2 linked regions of the Cricetulus griseus genome follow. The protein of the gene in region 2 purifies or fractionates together with the protein of the main gene of each other region. This does not show direct contact. Links are inferred from orthologs where the notes say so. Each region holds a gene or a part of one and is shown on either strand. Other genes may lie near its edges.

What was found. Proteins that work in one complex are often made in the same cells at the same time.
Region 1: the proteins of Zbtb18 (region 2) and Ctbp1 purify together in Homo sapiens (affinity purification with mass spectrometry; 3 studies listed by BioGRID and IntAct, counting the BioPlex papers as one, with this or other methods). This does not show direct contact. The link is inferred for Cricetulus griseus from reciprocal best matches to the Homo sapiens genes ZBTB18 and CTBP1.

The regions. Positions count from the first base shown.
Region 1 is NW_023276807.1:102,310,029-102,313,758, forward strand, and holds part of Ctbp1 (C-terminal-binding protein 1), read right to left. Parts: intron 2,116-3,730; coding exon 1,961-2,115; intron 109-1,960; exon of another isoform or gene 1-108. UniProt on the Homo sapiens protein: Corepressor targeting diverse transcription regulators such as GLIS2 or BCL6. Has dehydrogenase activity. Involved in controlling the equilibrium between tubular and stacked structures in the Golgi complex.
Region 2 is NC_048598.1:16,377,933-16,382,321, forward strand, and holds the start of Zbtb18 (zinc finger and BTB domain-containing protein 18), read right to left. Parts: upstream 2,833-4,389; 5' UTR 989-2,832; coding exon 976-988; intron 963-975; exon of another isoform or gene 1-962.

The DNA of each region.
Region 1 (3,730 bases), on a different chromosome or scaffold from region 2:
GGCGTCTCCTATCCCCTCTCATAGTCCTGCTGGGTCCATGGCAGAAGAGCCAAGGTCTCTGGGAAGTTTTCTTCATCATGTTCTTCATTGATAGTGTAACATTCTCATCTGCAATGTAGACAGTGACACTCAGCCAGTTGTGAGGACTTCTTGCTCTAAAAGGTGGAAATTCCCACATAACAAGAATATATAAGACAGTTACTTACTTCCCACATCTAGAGACAGGTGTCCCACACGTTCAGTTACATCTTCATAGTTATTTGGGTACTAGACTCTTGCCTTGTAGCTATACCATTACCAGTATATGGCTTCCCTCTTATAGTACAAGGTACCTACCCAAGGCTTCAGCCATCATATCAGATTTCCAGCCGGCCAGCAAAAAGGGGGAAGGTGACATACACCCAAGGTGCTGTGTGCCTATAGGTCACCCCTTTCCTGAGTCAGGCAGGATCTGTGGCAGGATACAATCTTCACAGCCATATCACCAAAGGGTACTGGTGGTTGCCCAATTTGGGCTACTGTGAATCAAGCTGCCATACCTTCAAATACAGATGATGATGATAGTGCATGTCATGTCTGCTACAAAGGCTGCTAGAATGCTGAAAGGTTGTATATCAATACAGAGTGCCACTGACTACTGTCCATGCCATGCCATGCCATGCCACAGGCTCAAGGCCCTTCACTAACACAGTTTCCTATTGTCTGGGGAAATCTTCCACCACAGTGTCTCCAGCTTTTGCATCTAGTTCCTTCCCTCTTTAGTTATGGATTCTATTACCTTGCCCACTCCTTGCTCCTCCCATTCCCCACTCTCACCACAAGGCATAAGAATCAGGACTTCTGATCCCTTCCTCCCTACTACTTACTATGCCCAAAGGAGTGATTCTCACTTTTAGCTTTACTATAGTACAGCTCTGTGTCTTGTATTGCTCCCCCATACCTGCTACATGAACCCCAAGATAGCACTGTCTCTTTCTTGCCTGAAGGCAGCCCACCCCACAGTCAAACTGGGGTTCCTGCTGGTGAGAAGCTCTCTTCTCCTCACAGAGCCTTGCCTCCTTATAGCTGAGTGAGTGCCCAAAGACTATAGACACATACTGAGGCCAGGCTGGAATGACTGTCCCAGATGACTCTACAGCCCCTGGGGAGCAGGGCTATAGGTCCACTATATGCTAAATCCCATGCCTGGCAGACTTACAAGGCTGGGTAATAGGCTAGGTGAAGGTACATTCAGATACGGGTTTCACTGCTCTCTGGGTCTGAGGCAACATCTGCAATGGGCCAACAGGCTCACCCTCCAAGGCCATGATGCCACCAAGACCAGAGCTCACCACTCCTCCCAGAGGAGCAAATCTCCAGGCTACCCAACCAGACTGTCCATAAGAGCAGATGCCAGGTCGCTCATGGTTGCAATCCCTGACTGGTTCTACCTTGTCAGCTCCTGAAGGTTTTTTAGATTTGTGGTAAAGAATGTTTTCAAGCTGTCTCCAGTGCAAAGTCTGAATTGGCTATGACACAACCAGAAACCAGATGAGCACACTCCAGGTCATGGAAGAACCCAACAGATCTGAGCAAACATGAATCACGGAAGCTGCTCAGAGCTGCTAACCACCCAACAACAAGCTCTCCGTAGGTACTGTGGGTAAAGATACTGTGACCTGCTATATTCCAGGTAGCATCCAGCATAATCACTGGCAGATGCCCACAGTTCCACTTCTTCTAATAACTGGCTGTGATGTAAGAAACCAAGAAAATACAGAGTAAGAAATATTTACCTCCTGACAAGGCCAGGCACAGTGACAGGCCATACAAGACCTTGTGGTATTTAGACCTACTGTTGCCAGAGACCAAGGAGCATGACTAGTGCTGTGTGCTGACTGAGATTGCAGCCTGAGGTTGCATGGCCCATGCTCTGGAGCCCCCCTGTACCCCATGAAACTTGGCCAACTTAAGACACTACCTTCTCATGGATCTCCTGTGTGGACTGTGCATCACAGAAGGCTACTGTGGCCACATCCTTCAGGATAGGCATCTCCACTGTGCAGTCCCGGCCATCCAGCAGCGCCACCAGGGGCCGGGGGTGCAAGGGCCCGTTCATGATGGGAGGTCGGACGCCTGCAAGAAAGGAGCAGACCACTTAATGCCCTCAGCAGCTCTAGTCTATGATCTGAGAACTGTATTACCCACTAGGGCTGGGGAAATCAGCCCTGAGAACTTACTGCACTCAGCCTCTGGCTACACAAGGCTTTGTAGAAAGCAAATTAAAACCAGGAAGAAGGAAATAGGAGTTTGCAACATTTCACTGATGACTGAGTGGACTCAGACCTCAAGGGCGCAGGACCTGAAATCTTTGGAGACCCTAGTGGGGATATAGGGGACAAGGGTACAGAGGAGGTAGGAGGCACCTCAGCCCTGGCATCCTACAGCTGTAAGCTATCTTGTCAACACAAAAATGTGCAGACACAAAAGAATATGATTCAGGAAAGTGCCTGTTCACTCTTTGCTGCCTAAAAACCACTGTGTAACTGCCCAGAACCCCACAGAGAGACCACAGTGATTTTAGCATGTGACCCAACCTGGTATCATTCCTAGTGGTAGATTTCAAGGGCCAAAAAACTGCGACAGGAAAAAAGGGCTACCACACTCTCAGAACCCACCTCCCAGACCAAGGTGAGAAAGAACCTTAGGCCTGGAGTGCAACTCCAAAGAGCACTTGCCCAGTGAGTGTGAGGTCTGGGTCTGTTTCCTAGCTCCACAAAAGCCTTTATGGATATGAAATCAGCTTGCTCCTAACACGACACCCTAAAAAACTAGACCCCACATGGGGCCAAGTACAGTACCAAGGGCTTCACAAGTACACAGCCAACACAGTAGTCCCAGGTACTATAGCCACCTTGGGCAGGGCAGCAGACACCTCATGGAGACCAAAGGTAGCTCCACAGTAGCAGACAACACCAGGCAGGACCTTGTCCAGCCCCAGGGCCTCCAAAAGAGTTAGCCAGGAGTATGGACCATGGAGTAGGCACAGTGGGGGGGGGGGGGTAAAGGCAAGAAACAAGTCACCACAGTCTCCCACTGAGCAGGCCAAAGGTAACCGTGCAACAGCTGCAGTAGAGTTCACAGTCACCTTTCTTGCCTCCAGGTGCAGAGGCTGCCCCAAGCTGCCAGTGCCAAGTAAGTGCCTCAGAGAACACATGTCACAGAAAAGCAATGTCCTTTGGATTGTCACACCTATGTTTAACAGGGCTGGTGAAAAATCACTGAGTGCTTCCAGTCTGGAACTGGATACCTGGACTGTGACACAGGTCTCAGTGACCACCCATAATGGAGCTGCCTGATAGACAACACTAAGCACAAGGACTCCAGCTGTGGAACAGAGGTGTTGCTATACACAGCCCTTCCCCAGAGTCAATGTGACTATGAGAAGACACACATATGAAGGACACACCAGTCCTTCATAAACTGTAAAAGTAAAGGTACGAAGACTTGATGGTCCAGACTTCAAGGTCACAGGCTTGGCATTTGCATACTTCCTTCCTTGACCCCTATGGATCACATCCCTAGCTACCCCTGTCACCAGACAGCAGAGGTGGAAAAACAACAATCCACTTGTCCTCCAACTCGGACTTGCAAAGTGGCTTTTCTCACATAAAAGTATTACTTTTTATAGAAGGTAACAGACTTACTGCTATTTTAAAAGAGTTGATAAACATCTACTTTTCTCATTCCC
Region 2 (4,389 bases):
GAACCAAGATTTACAATACAATCACTTTAAGTGCCCCACAGCTAACATCAATCCCAACCCTGGAGAGGGCTAAAAATAAAGACTGGAGGCCAGCTCACAAGGTAGCCGTGATCAAATTAGGAGGCTGAGAGGACAGAGAGGGACGAAGAAGGAAGCTTATAAACATCTGATCCAGCTGACTGTGGCCATATGGCAGCTGCTGCCCAGATAAAGAGATTAAGAATAGAGGAGTGCGATTACAGCTGTCTGGCCAATTCAGGCAGCTCGAATCTACAAGTTCTAAATTAGTCGCTAACGCAGAAACTCCTGCAAATAATTATTGTTACGCTGAAATAAAAGATCTCTTAAATATATATCTGAAAGAGAAATGAGGAAACTGGTCAAACTATTCTCCTAGGGATAAAAGTTGTCTTTCTTTTTCTTCTCCCCTCTTCTTAAAAAACAAAAACAAAAAAATCCCAACAACAAAAACCCTCCGGTTTCAAAAGCACTACAGCTGTATGCTGCTTTCAGTAATGCTTGCCGAATGTTTTGGAGAATAAAGTTTCACAGTGGAATTAATTACACAACAACCTAGCTTCTTAACCAGAATAATCTTCTCATATAAGTTTGAAAGCTGGATTCCAGACAGTTTACTGTTTCTGCCCCCCTAAAGCAAAAGGAATCTAAACAGCAGTGAACAACAAAAGGCATCTTAATCCAAAGTGATCTCAAAAAGCCATATTCCAAAGCCTTTCTTACCATCTGAAAACTTGAAATATTTCTGTGTATTAAAGTTATTTACTTGCTCAAAGAAAAGAAATAAAAATTCAAACCAAGCAAGCCCAAGACTTCCAGCTCAAGACCATCACTTCATGCTCAATTTCACACATTATTCATAAAGTGGATTACAAAAGTAATGTGATGTTTTTTTAAAAAAATTAAATAAAACACCCAAACAGAAAGATGCTCAATCTAATCTCTTGCTACTCCTACCTTTAGGACACATAAACTTGATTAAGTCCTTCCCTCGGAGTCTTGCTGGCTCCAGGTCTGTTACATCGGTGGAAAAAAAGCAGACTAAGAGAGACAGATGCAAAGTGGAGATGATGTTGGAGAGGAATGAGATACCTTCTCCACCACAGATCCGCACACACTAGCTCCCTGTCTGTGTGTTAGAATAAAAGGCTGAGGGATGGCAGGCTGTCAGCTGCTCTGACATCATGTTCAGATGGAAATGCTACCTCCAGCTGTGCTCCTTTAATGCCATATGCTACTCCTCTACACTCCTGCCACCAGCTTTTTCTTAGGAGAACTTTTCTCTTCTGTTAGTATAAACAAAATACTTCAAAGTCTTCCTTTTTTTCCCCCCAAACTTTCTAACAGAAGAAATTGAAAAACTCAGCATATGGAGTCCTACTGTATTTATGGAATCGCAACACTTCTGCCTCAAGTTGGTGGACTGGCTTACATATGACAGCACACTCAGGCTCGGTGCTATTCAGGAAACCCACATTCACTTTTATTCAACTCCAACGTCTAGTTTCAAAGGCAGCTTAGGGATATTTTTAAACCAACCCATTTGACATCTCCAGCCCCACTTCGGCATTATTACAGCATGTTTTTTTTTTTCCTCCCCCCGCGGAGATAATGGTAGACATCTCCAAAATGTTGGCAGACTTATTAAGAGCTATTACTTCAGCGTGGTTCACCTTATTATTTCACTCTTACTTAGCAACTTATCTGCAACTACCTCCCAGGAAAATAATTCACACTGCCACCGTGAATGCAGATTTCCATTCTCAGCGTCAACAAACTGAAACTGCACTTTGTGAAATCCTGGAAAGTATTTCGGTTCAATAAAGGCAAATTAATAAACCGACACAACCTGCTGCAGTCACTTAGGATGACTGTTTGGCCACATCTCATGTTTCTGCTCAGAAAAAGGCGTCACTTTGTCTTGCCCTTCTTCCCTATCCCTTTGGGCTAAAGGGTTGTGATCAGCAGGAGTGTAGACTTTGGGAACTTTCTTGGCTGGAGTTTGTGGGTCTTAGTTTCTAATGGCTGATGAAATGCTAAGGTAACCCGGGCTGGGCCGCCCGGTTCCCTGCAAGGTGCTGCGACAACTATGAATGTCAGACACATCTATCTCTACAGACTCTTGGGAGGTCGAGGAGTAGAAAAAAGAAACTGGGGCCTGAGGCGCAAACGTCCCAACCCGGGCGACAGCCACTCTTAGGCTCGCCTTAGAAAACGGAGGCAGGGAGCTAGAGAACAAAACCCCAACTCTGTCCTGCCCTCGCTCACGAGTCACTAAGAAACCTAACTTTCTCTAACTTCGCGGTGAATGACATAATTCTGAACTCGTTCTGGAGGCACACTGGGCAGACACATTACTTCCCTGCTACACACACCCTCTTCTCCGCGGATGCCCTCGCCCCATTCCAATATATCCGACGTTAATCACCCCGTTTACTCACTGGGGTGATGGTGGGGGTGAGTGACAGTTTAATGAGCCCCAAGGACCGCAATGGCCCGGAGACATCCCGTCCAAGTCTCGCTACCGCGGACCCGCGGGGGCTCTGTGAGGTTTGGGGTTTTGTTTCTCAGAGGTGGGGGCAGGGTGCCCCGGGTGTGTTTGAGGTTTTGGGGTGGAGGGGGGGGATGCAAATCTTCGCGCAGTTCGCCGTGCATAAAGCACTTGGGGAAAGAGGAAGGGTGAAACCACTGGGAAGGAGGTGCAGGGCAGAGAGCCGGTGCAGCAGGAAAACACCTTCCACAACGGCCGAGAAAACAGCCCCGGGTCGCGGCAACAACAAAAGAAAAGTCGCAAGAAGCGGCGCGGCGACCGCTCCCCGCCGCCGCCGCCGCCGCGCGCCAGCCCCGGGCCTCCCGGCAACCGCAACCCGGGCGCCGCGCCCTCCCCCCCGGCCCTGCAGCTGCACCGGCCCCGGAGCCGCGGCCGTCCCGGGCGCTGCAGCTGCGGCGGCCCGGACCCCTCCCCGCCCGCTCGCCCGCCCGCCCGCCGCCCTCCGCACGGGAGGCGCCGCCGCAGTGCACCGGCCGCCCCGCGCCGCAGCTGCCGGGGAGCGCGGCCAGGCGAGGCGAGGCGAGGCGAGCCCGCACCGCACCGCACCGCACCGCCGCCGCCCCCTCCGCCGCACTAACTAACTCCCCCGGCGGGACCCACGGCCGGCAGCGGGGCAGGGCGGGGCGGGGACTCACACGGAGCGGCCGAGTCGCCGCGTCCCCGCCGCCGTCCTCCTCCTCCTCCTCCTCTGCCGCCGCCGCTGGACTTGTGGGCGTCCTCCGCCGGCCCCCGCCCGCCGCCGGCCCCGGCCCGGGCCCGCGCGCCCCCGCCGCCCCCGCCCGCGTGGCAGCCTGAGGCGCGCCGCCGAGCCACGGGCCACTCTTTAACGGCCATCAGGCAGCCCCAGCGCGGCCGCAGCCTGCCAGACGTACGGGCGCGGAGCGGGCGGCGGGCGGGCGGCGGGCGCGGCGGGCGGGCGAGCGCGGCGCCGGGCCGGCGGCGGGCGGGGCGGGCGGACGACGCACACGCACGCACGCCGCGGCGCGCGGCCCAGATGTGGCCCCGCCCGGCCGGGCCGCCCCGCGCCGGCCGCTCGGCGATTGAGCGAAAGCGGCGGGCCCCGGTCGCTGGCCCGCCCTCGGTCGCAGCGTTGCCCAATAGAAGAGCGGCGTGACGGGGTGGGCGGAGGGGCGGCGGGACTGACGGGGAAGCTCGGCCAATGGCAGTGGCGGGTAGGAGCTGCCGCCCGCGCGCGCCAATCGCAGGGGGCGACTGTTGGGTGGGCGTGGCCTCTTCGAGGGGGAGGCGGAGTCCGCGGGCCGCGGCGGCGGCGGCGGCGCTGGCGCTGGCGGCGGCGGCGGCAGCGGCGCCCCTCTGGGTGACTTGGCCGTGAGAAAGTGAAAGGAGCCCGCAGGCGGCGGCGACAGCTGCGCGGGGAGGGGCCTGTTTCCAGGCTGGAGACGAGCGCGTTCTGGGGGTGTGGAGTGAGAGAGTGAGTCTGCGTGCACCGCGACGGCCTCGAGTGTACTTTTACACGGGGCAGGTGTCCCGGGGAGGCAGTGCGCGCGGGGCCGCAGCTGGCCGGGGCCGGCCTGGGGCGGCTGGGTCTGGCCCTCCTGCGGTGCTCGCTTGGGCCGCGTCCCGGGGACGCGCCGCGCCGCGCCGCCTCCGGCCTGTGGTGTCGGCCGCCAGGTGCACGGGGGCCGCCAGCTCGGAGCGGCTGCGAGAGGCGCTTTTTCCCAGCGTCCTTCGTGCAAGTTGCAGCTGCGTTTCTCCTCCCGATCCCCGCGTCCCGTCTGCACGCACGGTGACAAGCAAAGACAGTGCCCAGAGACCAGTCTGAGAGCTTTCCAGGGGGAATGAGACTTGTAGACGCTTTA